Struthio camelus: one gene and its partner. The protein of the gene in region 2 interacts with the protein of the main gene of each other region in a pairwise test. Links are inferred from orthologs where the notes say so. Each region holds a gene or a part of one and is shown on either strand. Other genes may lie near its edges.

Region 1 (7,413 bases), on a different chromosome or scaffold from region 2:
AAAAAAACTTCTGACACATGCCTGTAAGCCCTGCCAGGGAGAACTTAGGGTGCAGCCAGGTGCGAATGTAGACCATGAGGAAGTAATGCTACCCTTAAGAAGTCATCATCACAGCTAGCAACTTTACATGTTTAGTCTTAAAACATAATGGATCTTGGCTCATGCCCAGATCTGAGGCATGACTTGATGGCTGTTCCATTAGGAGATCAATCACCTCCTATCTACATAATTGTCTGGGAAAAAATATTCAGTATCAATCAACTTTTTATTTCCAAATTGCTTTCTTTTATATATGCAGTGAACCTTAATTTTGAATTTTGTTTCACAAGTTATTAACACTGTATACACTTACTATCTTTCTAACTTTAGACAACTCATTTTCAGTTATTAGGGGGAGACTCATCATGACACACTTCCATCTAAACTGCTTATTATGCTTGTAGTTATGCTATTATGTCATTCTCAATCATCACAAATGGAAACAATTTCATTTTATGATTACCACACCTAAAATTTTAACTGGCTCACCTGCGTAACTTAGATTTATACTGTGTTTCCTAAGGCTACAATGAAATTCATGTGGAAATGTATTTATATATCCGTGAGTATTAGTTTTGATTATACTAGTCCAGCAAAAATATGCAGACTGGCTAGTGTTTGCTTTTACATTGGAGTATAGTATTTCAAGACCAGTAATATGATAAACAGCATCCATTTCAGGTGCGTGGTGTTACAGCAGCACCATTTCAGAGAACTAAGATATTTTATCTTTCAGCCAAGACTCAGCTTATTACTATCTGCAAAAGCTGCAGGTCACACACTGTCTTTAATCAGTCCCAGGTGATTATACTTCCTCCTCCATTTTTCTTTATATTTTAAAATATTTGCTGACAGCACACTGTATCAAGCCATTGTCAAGCTATAAGGGCTGTATAAACAATATCTATTGCTTCTGTTCTGAGTTATCAATATATTTCAACTGTAAACATTGTGTAACAGAAATCATCTGACATGGAACTGCAGTGGACGAGCATTTCAGAGTCAACACAAGGCAGAGGAAACAGCTTTGAGGCTGCGGGTTCGCTCTGAACTGTCTCAGAGGGGAACCCTTCTGTCTCCGCTACACACACAGCCTAGTTTCTAGGTCTATGTGACAGTATCTTCTGAGTGCCTGGGAAGATCCCTCCCTGCCCGTTACACTGTTTACCGCACTTCACCAAAATGTCTCAGGATGTAGTTTATTTGATCCATTTGTCATAGAGTATTTCATCGCTTTGCATTTATCATGTATGTAGAAAGGCAGAGCATTCAAAGCTTCCTTTAAAATAAAACTTTATTACAAATATATTTTGGTACTAGAAAGCCTTAATTTTGAGTTTATTGGGAAGTGGGTGTACAAAGGCTCACCACATAGGAGAGTCACACAACTAAAAGTGCATACACTTCAGTAGACAATGGTAACGGGAGACTTCCTGCCCGCTTATTCTTATGGTGTATCTGCATTATTATACACTCACTGAAGCTAATACAAAAATTGAAGAAAATACTAGAAATGCAGGTCAGAGGCACAAAATGAAAGCACTGCTTACTTTTATTCTAAACAATAAAAGGGTGCCTACAGGAAGTTTCCAAGAAGTAATTCAGTAACTCTGAATATTGTGCTTTTTGTATGTTCTATAGCAAGAAATTAGATTAGTGAAACTTTAAGGCCTAGACTCTTTCAGAACAAAACAGTGACACTATTTAACAGACTATCTGAACATGCAAACAGTAGAAATATATTCAGCTGTCTCAAAGCTTTGACTCCATTCTTTACAGTCTCCTGCCAAAAGAACCTTATTTACTTACTTCCTTCTTCTATTTGTCTCTATGGAAAATTTTTGTGCCCTCCTCCGATGTGTTTTTTGATCTTCTTTCAGTGCCTGACGTTCTTCTTCTAAATCCCGTTCACAATGAAACTTTAAAGCTCTATCCCTAGTATCATGCTAAGGATAATGAAAACATCTGTATCAAACATCTCAGAAAAAGGTATAATGTCACTGAGGATTTATTATGTACCTCTTTGGGAAAGGGCAACCTTTAATCATGAGATACCAAATGTCACTATGCTTTTCAACTAATTATAAAACAGCTGGTCCCATAAATATATACTATGGTAGTACTTTACTTCTTGTTCATCCAGAACAAGTTTAATTGCATCTTACTATTTACAGTGACTTTAACAAACACCAGAGGCTTTGCATGCAACATTTATGATATCAGCTGATGAAATCTCACTTTCTTTGGTTTATTTGATGATACATCTTTCTGTTATCACAGAATCGTTTAGGTTGGAAGGGACCTCTGGAGATCATCTAGCCCAACCTCCCTGCCCAAGCAGGGACCTCTAGAGCATATTATTATCTAAATCTGTGACATACGGACACATTTATCACAGGGAAAGTCTGTCTGCATACAGAGCCCTCCCCAGTTCTAAGGGATTAGCTGAAATGCATTCATACCACTAGATAAAACAGCTCTCCTTACTGTAAGTACAGGCAGAGCTTAGAACTTTTATCAGTATCACTTAAATCATTACTCACATCCAAGTAAGAAAATAGGGATTCTGGAATTAGGATGGAAAATATGCTTTCCAACTGGCAGTATCTTCAAGAAGAAAAATAAAAAAAAATGCTAAGAGGACTGTCACTCAACTTTTCTGTGGTAGTCTAAAAGATAATAACGTACAACGAGCTCTCCTTCAAGTCATCACCGAAGCAATACCTGACAGACAGAATTTCTGTTTCACCAGCCACCACCCCGACAGCGGCGCTCCGCCTCCTTGGTTTACGAGCGTCAGGGTGAGAGAGATCATCAGGTTCAACGTTTTCAACTGATTCTGTCACGCCCCTGCCCCCCACGGGGCACCCCACAGAGCTCGCCATCCCCCGCGCGGCCTGCCCCCTCCGCGGGGCGGCCGTGCCCCACGCTGCCCGCCCGCGTACGCGGAAGGATACGCGGAGGCCCCACTGCGAACCGCGAAGTCCCGGCGGCCGCCAGGGAGGTTTCGGCCCTTCCCGCCAGGCTCCATTCAGCGGCGCGGGGCCGGGGCCCCGCTGGTCAGGGCCGAGCGCGGCCCGCCCGCGCCGCCATCTCGGGACCCAGGGACGCCGCTGCCTTGGCAACGCGCGGGGGCGGGGCCTAGGCGGAGGGGCGGGGCCTCAGGGCGGCTCGCGCCCTGTCGGGGCGGTGTCGCCACAGCGGCCTGCAGAGCGGCAGCGGCGAGGCGCCGCGCCGCGCCGCCTCCCGCCACGTCCCCCGTCCTGCATTCCGTTCACAAAGAGCAGGATTTGCTTTATTTTGTTGTGTTTTTAACTGATATCGTAGTAAACACATTTCTAAGTAGTTTTGCAGGACAAATGAAACCCCTTCCTGGCCCCGCTGCCGTTTGTGGGTGTGCGGAGCTCCGTGTGGACGCGTCTTAGATCTGTTACTTGAGGCTGTGGCTTGGAATTCACAACATAAGGTTTTTTTTTTTTTTTAAACGGGGTGCAGAAATAGCAATAAAAAAATTAAACTATGTGTGTGAAAATGAGTTAAAAAACTCACGCAAAGCAAAAAAGTAATTTGCTCTGAAAGAATGAAACACTGCATTTTTGTTTTCAGGCAAAGCAGGGTGTGTTGTCCTGGGATATTGCCATGCCTGGGATGAGTTGTCAGCACAAGGCTAAATGCCTTGGCGATTTCCTGGCGAGACGTTTCTTGGCTGTTCTATTTGAGTTTGCACCAATTCCTCTCTTTTTCAAAGAGTGCAGCTGTTCTATGTCTTTGACTAGAAGGGTAAAAATAGTATTCTACACTTGTAAAACGCTTTTTTCACAGCCCCCCAACAAATATTTTTAATGCAGCTTGTGAGGTAGGTGTTACTATTACCATTTTATACGAGGCTCAGATTACCGAACATGCTTAATGTTTATAGCATCCCAGTTTTATAGTTGAGAGGAAAACCCTGAAATGGAAGCCTTTCATCTCCAGTTCAGAACACCAGCCCCAAATTCTCCTTTCCAACCAATTGAATTAAGTGTCGCAGGTAGAAGCCTAGTCGCTGCTATTTCCTCCACGTGGTACTTTTCCTGTTCTTTTCAACCTACGTAAACTTTTTAAGACCCACTTTGCACTGCTTCATTTAGGATGCGGTTGAAGGCTTTCTCAGGATCAAGACCTGATCCACCCAGACAGGACTGTAGTGGAGCTGCGAAACTACTGTGGAGTTTGAGCCCACGTCACACCTGGAAAGATCATAGTCATCTCCAGCCTGGCAGGACTGGGACTTCTTTAGACTTTCTGCAAGTTTTGATGGTGTGCAGCATCAACTCCCACCTTCTGAAGTTTAGGATTAAAAATAGTCTTTACATATCTTCTAGTCTTTTTTTTTTAACTTTTTTACTTCTTCATAACTCTCTTTTAGATTTATTAACTGTCTTCTCCTGGTGAAAGATCTTAGATCTTTCAGTTTGTGGGATGAGAAGGTGGCTAGCTGAGGACCATATATTCTATAACTGTATGATTATTCTGGGACAGGAAGCAGCCTGATCTCATGCCGTTACAAAACAGAAGGTCTTACTCTGGCAACTGACTTCAAAGAAGTTTCATAAATTTTAATATGGGCTACAGACTGATATTCCAGTGAAGGATGAAGATCAGTTCCTAAATCTTTATGGGACAGATTTTGACATGATTACAAATCTTAAGGCTGGAACATAACTATGCTGCTGCAGAAACACGTTTTCTTTCCTTTTGGTCCAGGGGGGATTAATCTGCTTTAGCCCTTTACTTCATATCTTACTTTCCTCCAAGCTTCAGGTTAACTGAAGGCCACTGCATGGGGTGAGGAGAGATAAGAAGTTCAGTCAAAGTTCTGATCTTTTTTAGTGCTACTTTTTAACATTTGGCTCCTTTTCTTAGTTCTGTGTATAAAAAGAAGAATAAAAACTGTTATTTCCTCCTTAATGTCATATATGGGCAGCCATGAAATCTTTTCACTTTCTTACCTCCTTGTCAGAGACTGTATTTTTGGATCATAGACTACATCTTTTTACAAGAGCATCAGTCGGTGCACTAGTTACATTCTCGTGTTTCTTATTTTGGAAAAATATAACATGCTATGAAGTACGTTAGAACAAATTAAAAATTGGATTTTGTAAGATATCAAAAAAACAAAGTTGTTAGTAATTTCACCAGCAGCTGAATGTGCTCCACTCATGAGGAAACCAGCTGCAGGTGCTCCATACCTTTTTGATATTCATTTCCAAAGAAAACATTAGATTAAAAAAAGATTTTTTTTGTCCCATGTGTAAACAATCTTCAACATAACACAAACTATTATTTTAAAGTAATATTTTTCAGTTTTCTGTAAGGAATTTGCTTTTAAGGCATATTCTGAAATTGCCCCACAGCTGGATCTAGTGCATTACCACCAGACAAGTGTAAACAGCTTCATTTTAGTTACAAAAACCTTTGCAAAAAGATGAAAACAGTGATTAACACTTTTTCCTTTCAAGTAGCCCAGACTTGCCCAGATTCAGTACAAACATACATATATACCAATGCTCAAAAATAGCATTTAACAAGATCTGCCACAGTCTTATCACAATAAAAATACTTATACGCTCGTGTGAGTCATATAAAGATAATAAGCAGTAACTTCTCTCAGGTAAAAAGCAATGCAGTATATAAAATCTAGTGGAATGCATTTTATTAAACCCAGGCATTAAAGAAGTGGTGTGTTGGCTGCTCTTTGTGCTGTACACATTCCCAAATAGTTAGCTCAGGGCTTCGGAGTGTGCAGTTCTTTCCACAGAAATTCAAAACCCGTCAAAGCGTTTGCATTTCTTCAAGTAAAAGATGATCCCCTTTCGGGTAACTTCATTTGTTTGTCTCAGCATTTTTTTCTTCAGCTGGGGAGAGACTGTGATAAGTAATGTCAAACCTTGTTCCTCCAAGGTAAGATTTTCAATTATATTGTTAGCTAAGATAATGAAGGTAACTGAATAGTTTCTGAGAACAGTGACAGGTGTGTTTAAAATGTAGGTTGCTTTATTCGGGGTAGATATGAAAATATAGAAGAATCAGGTATTTTCATATAGCTGCATTGAGATTGTAGCAATTCTGTGTATAAGGAGAAGAACGTTTTTGTCTTAATGTCTTTCATTCACAGCTCAGCTGGTAGGGCCAGATTTTTATCTCACTTGCATCAGCGTAAATGCAGAGCAACTCTGTTGTCTTTGGCAGTTTCACGGTTTTTATTTGTATTGCTGCGGTCAGATTTAATTGTCTGTTTCATATCTGCTCCTTAACAAAATAAATGTTGATTTAAAATATTTGCTTGACAGTATTTAATTGAACATCTGGTGAGTAGCTGTGATAAAGCGATCTATTTATAAGTTTCAAATGATTTATTTATAACTCTTACAGAAATTTCCTTCCTTTATTTTGTACTTATTTCAAACTTGGAGAAACATACTCTTTAAATTCTCTAGCATTTATTTGAGAAACAGGATGCAATTAAATTAATAATTCAGACAATTTTTTGTAAAATCTGTTTGTTAACATTTTTCTGTAATTTTTACTTTCACTTTTTAAAAGCAAAAATCAGGAAAGAACTGTTCAGTGCTGTACCAGTGTAGTGCCAATACCAGAAAGAGAAATCTGAAGCAGGAAATGAGAACAAGTATGTTAAAGATGCAATCGAGTCTAAATAAGTTTTCTTTTTTTGAAGATCTGTATGTTTTCAAGGGTCCTATTTACATTTCAAAATACTGTGTGCAAACAGTGTACAGTGCTAAGATCATGCAATTAAAGCACAGAGACTCACATCAAAATATGTTTCATAATGCTTTCTGTGATGACACATATTTCAGGAATTACTTTTAGCATTTGTTTATGTGATGAGTCAGGGACATTCCCTTATTTCTTACACAGGTTTGTCACATGGCACCGTGGAAGAAAAAAAACATTAAGATATGCAAATATTATTTTAAAATAACATTTAGAGATGTAGCAGTTTGAAACTGCTTATGCCATTGTTTTTATTATTAGCGTTTCACCTGGTGGTATCCCTCTGAATAATGTCCCTTTGTTCTTTCCTCTACAAAAGCCTTTAAGATATTTTTCAAATGTTCGGTTTGTCGGCAAATCTGCTTGGGAGGACTTGTGTGCATAGCTTAATAACAGGTGCAAATATTTACAGTGGAACTGTTTTGATAATATGTGGTAAATGCAAAAGCCTGCTCCTTTCCAGTGAAAATAACTTTGTTAGCCTTTGAGATGTCTGTTGGGTATGGTGATCCTCAAAATGTGAGCTTCCTAAATGCAAGTGTTTGCATTTCAGGCCTCCAGTTTACAGTGCTCAGAGGTACAATACTTTTTCAGAAA
Region 2 (7,972 bases):
TTCGCAATGCAGGGATAAAGCACAAAGTTCTGATAACGAGTTTTAAATAGGAACCCTCTATTGTGACACAGCATAAGACTCCCAGTTGGTTCAAAGCTACGTGAGCACAGACAAAAATACTTTTTACGAGAAAACCTCACCATTCAAAATATTTTTAGGCTTTGTAACAAGTGAATCAAACATTCAAAACCTCTGACAGAGCTAGTCACACTTTAACCTCTAATCTACCCACTTAGTGCTTTGCGACTTTAAAGTCGCACTAAAAAGTTGGTCAAGGAGTAGATACTTACAGCTTGAAAAAAGTTGTACCCAGCTGCAGTAACAACACATGGGGCAGCCTGTGCTCGTGCACAATCAGAACCCCTTCCACTGTCCGCCTCATGCCAATCTTGTCAAATTCTTCCCTCATGCGTTGAAACCGAGCTGCCACTGAGCTGTCCTTCTCATAGAGGGGTTCCTTTGTACCGAACGTATAATTCGTAAGAGGATACCTACAAGGAAAAAGGGTTACTACGTGACAAGAAATTCAAGTTAAAACCACATGCGCTATTATGACACAGCATTCATCCAGAGGCAGAACCATCTGTACTCAAGTGAAAAGTAGCTGGTTCATAGCAGCAGACTAGAAGTTTTTGTTGGCAAGTTGATTTATGTGGATCACATCACACAGAGACTTGCACTATGATATAGAAGTACAGAAAGTTATGCTGACTGACAGGCTGTCACGGCACTGATTCAAAAGAAGGGGACAAAGCACCACAGAAGAACCAGCAGCAACTGCTATTTAACAGCCTCTCTTTGATCTCCACACTGCAAAGGAGAAGGACTTTGAGGCTCCTAGAGTAACTGGGAGGAGGGCAAAAGAAGAGAAGGAGGTTGCATAGGACAGTTTTTCTGCAGGGCAGGAGCCAAGAGCCAGAGAACTAACTGTTAAATGTGGTTTTGTTCTGAAGTGGGAAATCTGACAGCTGGATCAGAGAGGACAAGTAATGCCGAGTGCTTAAGTGCAGGGCCAACGCCTGGAGTAAAAACAAGAGTTTGAGCAGGTCACTTTACTGAGCTAGGGATTGGACCTTTGGATTCTCTAGTGATGATACAGTGGAAACCTCAAGATTTCTCCAGGGAAAAGGGACGGAGTAGATAAAAGAACTGGAAAAAGAACTTGAGCAAAAAACTGGAGTCCTGCAAAAAACAGAGGGTAAACAGGAAAAGTTACTGTACAACTAAAACCAAGTAACAGATACGACAGTAGGAGGCCTGGAAGGTGGAGGGTTGGTGGGAAGACAGCATCATCATATTAGGTAAAAAGGGTGAGGAAAAGGGGTTCAGGGCAAAAGAACAGTAGCGCATATCAACAGTTTTATTAACTTGAGGCATACAGCAACTTCCTTGACTGAGTTAATGGCTGATTTCATGTGGGACATTTACTTTGGAATGAGCCTCTGCTTGCGCTTTCCCCCTCAACATTTGGTCTTCAAAGAGTCACATCCAACCTAAGAAGCACTCCCCTCCCCCCCAAACCAAGCTTTCTCTACTCTTCACAATGCAGAAATCACAAGCCAGTTTCAGTTCTAAACTGTAAGTGAAATGAGCTCTACAATGACCCAACACAAATGATTTTCTAACTAAAGATACCTTTATTAGCAAGCATTTTCCCCCTTCCGCCTTTTCACTTACAGTTAGAATTGTCTCCATTTCTTTTTTTATTAATTTCCATTCTATAGTCTCCAAAATAGGTAGTCTCACTTTTTCCCACAGAAAAAAGATACAGATCACACTAGCAGTCATTGGTACCTCAACATTTTTAGCCTGTTAAAAAAAGTTGCGGCTGATAACTTTTGCTGATTTTTTTTCCCTCTCAGAAAAGGGCATTAAAAAAACTCCAGTTTCTAAAGTTGATATCTGAACTTCCACAACACCATTAGCTCTAACTGGGAATAAGCTCAGCTATACTAAACAATACATACATCTTCTCTGATGGATAGCTAAATCGAGTATTGACTACTGTAGTCAACATTTGTTGCTGGCTTTGCAACTTGATAAACATACTTATCAAGAGAAATATCAGAGCTTACTGTAAAAAGCTAGCTGAAGTACATGACTTCTCACATAAAGTAAGCAAATACTTTTAGCAGATAGCTTGTAACTACAATAGAAACCCCGTGTTTCTTGTGGAAGCAAACACCTTAGATATAAGTTAAAATACCTGTGCTACACGGTCAGCAAACACCTGGCACACCTAAACACAGACTATTGGCTACAATGGGTAAGCCCGAAGGCTCCCTAGGCCAGCAGCCTATTTTTCCTCCCTGCAGCCAAAGGTAGATAGATGCCTATGGAAGGCTACGTGAAGAGAGAAGCATACGTGCCACCCACAGTACTCCCCAACTTTGTTAGTCACAGCTTGTACGCTTCCCGAGTCAGATTTTCGTTTTTATATGTAGTTCGTCACCCTCAGAGCAACTTCATAAAGGCGCTTCACGTTCCCCTGACCACAGGTAAGCCTTCAGTATCCCCAGCATCCCTGGGCACGGAGCTCCGCAGCGTCACGGCACGCTGCGCAAAAAGCGGCCGCTTTCTGCGTGTTTTAAGCCTGGCAGGGGGCAGCTTTTCCGAGGGCCAACACGGCGCAGACGCCGGCGCTCCCCGGGGCCCTGCGGCCGAGCCAGGCAGCGGCTGCCCGGCGGAGGCTCCCGCTCCCCCGCACCCTCCCAAGGGCGGCCCCGCGGCTGCTGGCGCAGCGGGGAAGGGGCTCGCGAGCCGCGGGGAGGGCCCAGGGCGGCCCCGGAGGCCCGGCGGCGGCGCTCACAGGTTGATGGTCCTCTCCAGCGTGAGCGGCTTCGTCTGCTGGATGTACTTGTTCCCGAACTGGTTCACTCCGCGGGGCCAGCCGGTCTGCGAGCGGTTAGGCGGCACCACGGACATGGCGGCGCCGGGCCGGGCCGGAGCGAGGGCGGCGGCGAGGGCGCGGGTCACTGCTCGGCGGCGGGAACCCCGTCCGCCATTAACCTCCCCGCCGGGCCTCACACACCCTCCGCGCGCCGCCTCGCCGGAACCGCCCAGCCCCACTTCCGCCCGAGCCGACCATAGAGCGGAGCCGCTCTGCGCCCCTCCAGCGACTCACCAGCCACAGCGAGCGGCACCGCCCACTGCTTCCTCACTGGCTTTTGGGGGCCGCGCACCGCCCTTCCCCCTCTTTCTCATTGGCCAGCGGAACGTCGCGCCGGCGCCCGCCCCCCCCGCGCGCCGCGCGCCCCGATTGGCCCGGAGGGCGGCGCGGGGGCGCCTGGGAGTTGTAGTCTGGCGGGGGCGGTGTCAGGCGGCAGCGGGCATGAGCGCCAAGCGGCGCGTGGCGGCGGCGGGGCCGGCGAAGAAGCGGGAGAAGCGGGGGGCGCGCGCCGAGCTGAGCGCCGCCCTCGGCGACGCGGCGCTGCGGGAGCGGGCGGCGGCGGCCTGGCGCCGCGGGGAGCCGCTCCGCCACGGTACGGCGCGCCCGCCACCGCCGTCCCGTCCCGTCCACCCGCGGCGGCGGCGGCGGCCCCGCTCACGGGCGGCTCTTTGTTGGCAGAGGCGGCGGCGCTGGAGCCGGCCCCGTTCCGGCACGGCCTGATCCCCGGCTTCCTGGCGGGCCCGGCCTTCGCGGCGGCGCTGCGCGACGAGCTGCTGGGCCTCGGCTTCCGCGGGCGGCGCAACGACCTGCTGTCGCTGCGGCAGGTGGGCCCGCTCCGCGCCGCGCCGCGCCGCGCCGCCGCTCCGCCGCCGCTAACCGCCCCCCCCCCGCCCCTTCTTCTCTTCCATGGGCCGCGGCAGTCCGAGGAGCTGCGCGGGAGGCCGGAGCCCCACGTCGCCGCGCTGAGGTGCGGCCCCCCCCCCCCGGCGTGGTGGAAGGGGCAGGGTGCCCTGCCGGGAAGCGGCCCGGAGGGGCAGCATCTGCTTTGCACAGGACAGGGCCCTAAACGCAGCTGAGCGTTTTCTTCTCAGCCCAGTGCTCCGATTCCAGCGTTAACCCTCATCTCTTGGTTATTTATCACCCCGAAACGTTTATCCGTGTCCCTTACAACTCATTCTGCATGTATTGCTTCGTCACTGTGAGTGATGCTGTGAAAGCTAGACTTTTCCTGGCCAACTCCCGTAGGGTTTTTCAGATATATGGTACCTCTGGCAGGAGTAGTAGCTTCAACTGTTTAAATAGTTGGAGGAGAGCTAATAATAAAAGTAGTTTTAGGCTGTATGTCACTGGTAACGTGCTTTGTAACTCAGGAGGATGCTTACCTTGTGCTCATCTTCCCAGGCACGCTCTGTGTGAAGAATTCCGAGCGTGGCTTTCTGCTGTGACCCAGATCGAACTGGAGCCAACGATCGACCTATCCTGCGCTAAATACGAATATACCGGTCAGTCAGTAAGCAGTCCTTTCCCCAAAGCTTCCCTGGGTGTGCATAAAACTATATTTGAGGAGAAGACATAATTACAAAGCCCACCACCACCCTTTCCCAGTCCTAGGAGGTCCTAGCAGCTATCACCCAGCAGATCAGAGTCTCCAACAAGAAACAAACCAAGTCTAAATTATGGAAAAATGATTGTTGTAATCATGCTGCTGAGAGCTTTAGCTGGGCCCAGTTTTGTAGCAAGCCTCCAACCTTTCTGGAGACGTTCAGCCAAAGTTTGCTGTCGAACTTCCTGGACACAAAGGGATGATGTGTTCAGGTTGTAAATGCCACAGTTTAGTTTGTGAAGTGCTAAAATGTCATCATAGAGAGTCCAGAAACTGGTTACAACTGTAATAGCCTTTTAGTCATGTAAAATTAACTTTTGTTAATTCTGCTTTTTTAAAGTCTCTTTGCCTAACCAGTTGCTGGTCCAGCTTTTCTGTTCCTGCCCTACCCCCAGCCCAGCAACAAACCTCCTCAAAGGGCAGCTGTGCATTCAAGAATAAGAGTTTGACTAACTGATAAACTTAAGGATCTCTTCCTGCTGTGCCCAGTGACAGCAGCAGAGGAGTGGGTAAGGAGGGGCTTAACCGCCTCTACCTTCAGAGCGGGCTTATCCATCAGTCGTAATGAAATCTCACAAACGTTATTCTCTCTGGATTAGTGATGCAGACAAGCAAAGATGCAGTTCTTGGGAAGGGCATATTTCTTCCTGTTATGTCCTTGCAAGGGCAAAGCTAGGAAGCAGCCACTGAAATAAATCAGTGCACACGCTAGAAAGGCACTACTGTAGGAAAATGTGTGTAATTGCAGATGTCCTGCTGTGCCATGATGATGAGCTGGAAGGTCGGAGAATTGCCTTCATCCTGTACCTCGTGCCACCGTGGGAGAAGAGCGATGGAGGGACGCTGGACTTTTATAGTACAGATGGTGAGAGCTTGCTCCTCAGCCTCTGATAGCTGAAAAAGATGAAGCTTAGGTGCCTTTGCAGCAACTCTCCTCTCAGATGGTACAAGGAAGATTTTGCTCAGTCCAAGGGAGCTTATGTATTGGTAAAATTTGCACTTTAGATACAAGGAAGATTTTGCTCAGTCCAAGGGAGCTTATGTATTGGTAAAATTTGCACTTTAGAAAGAGATGGGCTGTAGCAGTCTTTCCAGACTATGGTAATGGGTGACAGCTGAGGAAAAGGAGAAGCTAATAAAGAGGGGAATCCTTTCTTTTATCCACTTTTTTTTGCAGGGCACAGAGATGGAGGCAGGATAGAGGCAACACCAGTAACTGTGCTAGGAAATTTTTTAAGCGATGGAGATAACTTCCAGCGACAGAAGTCCACCGGTTCCTCATCAATCTCTTGCTCTAAGTTCCCTCCTTTACAGCCAGGTGTCTGATCAGTCACAGTGTCATAAAGTCCGAGGGAAATGACGCTTGCTAGTGAGTTCCAAGTCATCTTAACCAAACCCTGTTCTCTTCCTCTTCAGAACACTTCCAGCCGCAGCAAATCGTCAAGTCATTAGTGCCTTCATGGAACACACTGGCTTTCTTTGAAGTGTCTCCAGTCTCCTTCCACCAGGCAAGGATCTGTATTCTGTTCCTTTTTAAATCCTCTCTGTTGCAGTGATTCATTTTGTACATTGTAACAGGCCTGATGGGGAGGGTAGAAGAGAAAGGGAGAAACGCAGGCAGTCAGAATGCTCGTATTAAATGCTCTATGTTAAAGGCTGATGACTTAAAGGAGAACTAGAACTGACAAAGCCAACCTTAAACTACAAAATTCTGGCAGTATAGCTTCATCATCTTAGGGGAAGAAATTCCCATCCCTACCTTCTGTCACTATGCTGGCAAACTACTGCTGTGGATTTGGCTGTGGTGACAGAAGAGGGCTTTTGTTGGACTAGCTCATGTTTTTCATGCGGATGTCATGACTTTACTAGTAGACAGAAATGCTCCCTAGTATGCTGCATTGCCAGTAGGGGACTATGTGGATATGGCCGTATCAGTTCTGTAACGCAGATGCAGTTACCCTACAGGTAGGTTACCCTACCCTACCTACCAAATACCCTACAGTAGATGCGCTGATATGGTTAAGTAGCATTTTGTGGCACGCAACAGGAAGATGGCTGGAAAAAGCATGAGTGTAATCTCCAGAACCGCTTCATGTGAACACCTGGCTGAAAGCTGAAACTCCTGCTTGCTTGAGAATGCCATGAACTGTAACAAACAGTGTCAAAGAGCAGGAGGTTGGAGAAGAGCACTGAGTGTAGTGATGTAGGTCAGGCATGTTTGCAGCTAGACTGCTTAGGTTTTACTTTTCTGTTATTTATGTCTTGTAATTAATTAACAGAAACAACTATTTGGTCACTGCCCTAGTTGTTTTCAGTTAGTGATTTACTCTTGTCATGTAAATCCACGTTCCACTTGGCCTTGTGACTGTCTCCTACTAACCTAAACTTAATCCCATGCATTAGCACCATTCAGAGTCTTGCGTACTGTCTCTGATACTGTTAACACAGAGATTAAAAACCTCAGCTGTCTTAACTGGGAGTGCTGTGAATCTAAAGCTTCAGGACCTGCACCTCACTGGTTATTCCCAGAGCAGCTGTTGAACCACCAAATCATTTCTTTGATCCTTTCATCAGTAAATCATAGAGCTTCCGAATTGCCATTAGAGAGCTGTGTGAGGGTCAGACTGATACAAAGCCTTCACAGCACGTGCCAGCTTTAAATCCCTCTCAGCCATTTGGCAAAGAGTGTTTAGCTATTAATTCCTAGTAGATCTTCAGATTTTGGCCTTCATGCTGTATACTTCTTCAGCAGGTATCAAATAAAGCTTTGGGTATTATTTGGTGAGCAGAGCAGGTCGCTGGGCTTCCAGTAGCAAGCTTGATTTAAGAGCATTTTTCTGTTTTCCATTTCCCAAGAGATATAAGGTTTACTGTAGGCATTCCAAATTAGCTAGAAAAGCTTTAATTCATGCAAGGAGAGGGCCGCTACCGCTCTATAACTATCAATAAAAGCCAAAACCTTTTCCAGGACAGGCTGTGTTTCTTCCTTCTCTTCCAGCAGGCTGTCCTGAAAAACCAGTGCAAGGTCTTTATGTGCTGCTAGCAACCAGTCATAAGGGGGTGGCTCTCTCTTCATTACTCAGTACAGCACGCTGGAGCGTGAAATTGTTCGATTTAGCCCAACTTATAGCAGAGCACAGTTTGACGAAATCCAGATCTAGCAGTAGTAATCACTGTGTGAAAATCAGGGCTTTCCACAGACCAGGTAAAATGCCAGCATAAAGGGCTAGCTCTTAGTCTGTTAGATACGTAGACCTTTAACCCAGAGCCAAAGGTAGCAGACAAATGCTCTTCCTGCTGGCTTGAATTGCAGCATTTTTTTAAAAAGTAAAAGACACAATAAGGGCAGTACAGCCTGCTGCAGCCTATAGGCAGTAAGTGTGCCCCAGAGCTCCTCATGTGGTTTCTGAGTTCCAGGTTAACCTGCGACAGCTAGTTTTTGCCGACTGTGGTAGCTAGTTCAACAGAACAAACGGAAA

The links.
Region 1: the proteins of NUDT21 (region 2) and CEP126 interact in a two-hybrid assay, tested with the Homo sapiens proteins (2 studies listed by BioGRID and IntAct). The link is inferred for Struthio camelus from reciprocal best matches to the Homo sapiens genes NUDT21 and CEP126.

The regions. Positions count from the first base shown.
Region 1 is NC_090942.1:208,919,082-208,926,494, forward strand, and holds the start of CEP126 (centrosomal protein of 126 kDa), read right to left. Parts: upstream 3,158-7,413; 5' UTR 3,071-3,157; coding exon 2,997-3,070; intron 1,975-2,996; coding exon 1,849-1,974; intron 1-1,848. Other genes in the region: ANGPTL5 (angiopoietin-related protein 5), read left to right, coding at 5,884-5,982. UniProt on the Homo sapiens protein: Participates in cytokinesis. Necessary for microtubules and mitotic spindle organization. Involved in primary cilium formation.
Region 2 is NC_090951.1:22,003,912-22,011,883, forward strand, and holds the start of NUDT21 (cleavage and polyadenylation specificity factor subunit 5), read right to left. Parts: upstream 3,142-7,972; 5' UTR 2,926-3,141; coding exon 2,810-2,925; intron 492-2,809; coding exon 291-491; intron 1-290. Other genes in the region: prolyl 3-hydroxylase OGFOD1, read left to right, coding at 3,332-3,482, 3,569-3,714, 3,811-3,857, 4,292-4,392, 5,242-5,358, 5,910-6,001. UniProt on the Homo sapiens protein: Component of the cleavage factor Im (CFIm) complex that functions as an activator of the pre-mRNA 3'-end cleavage and polyadenylation processing required for the maturation of pre-mRNA into functional mRNAs.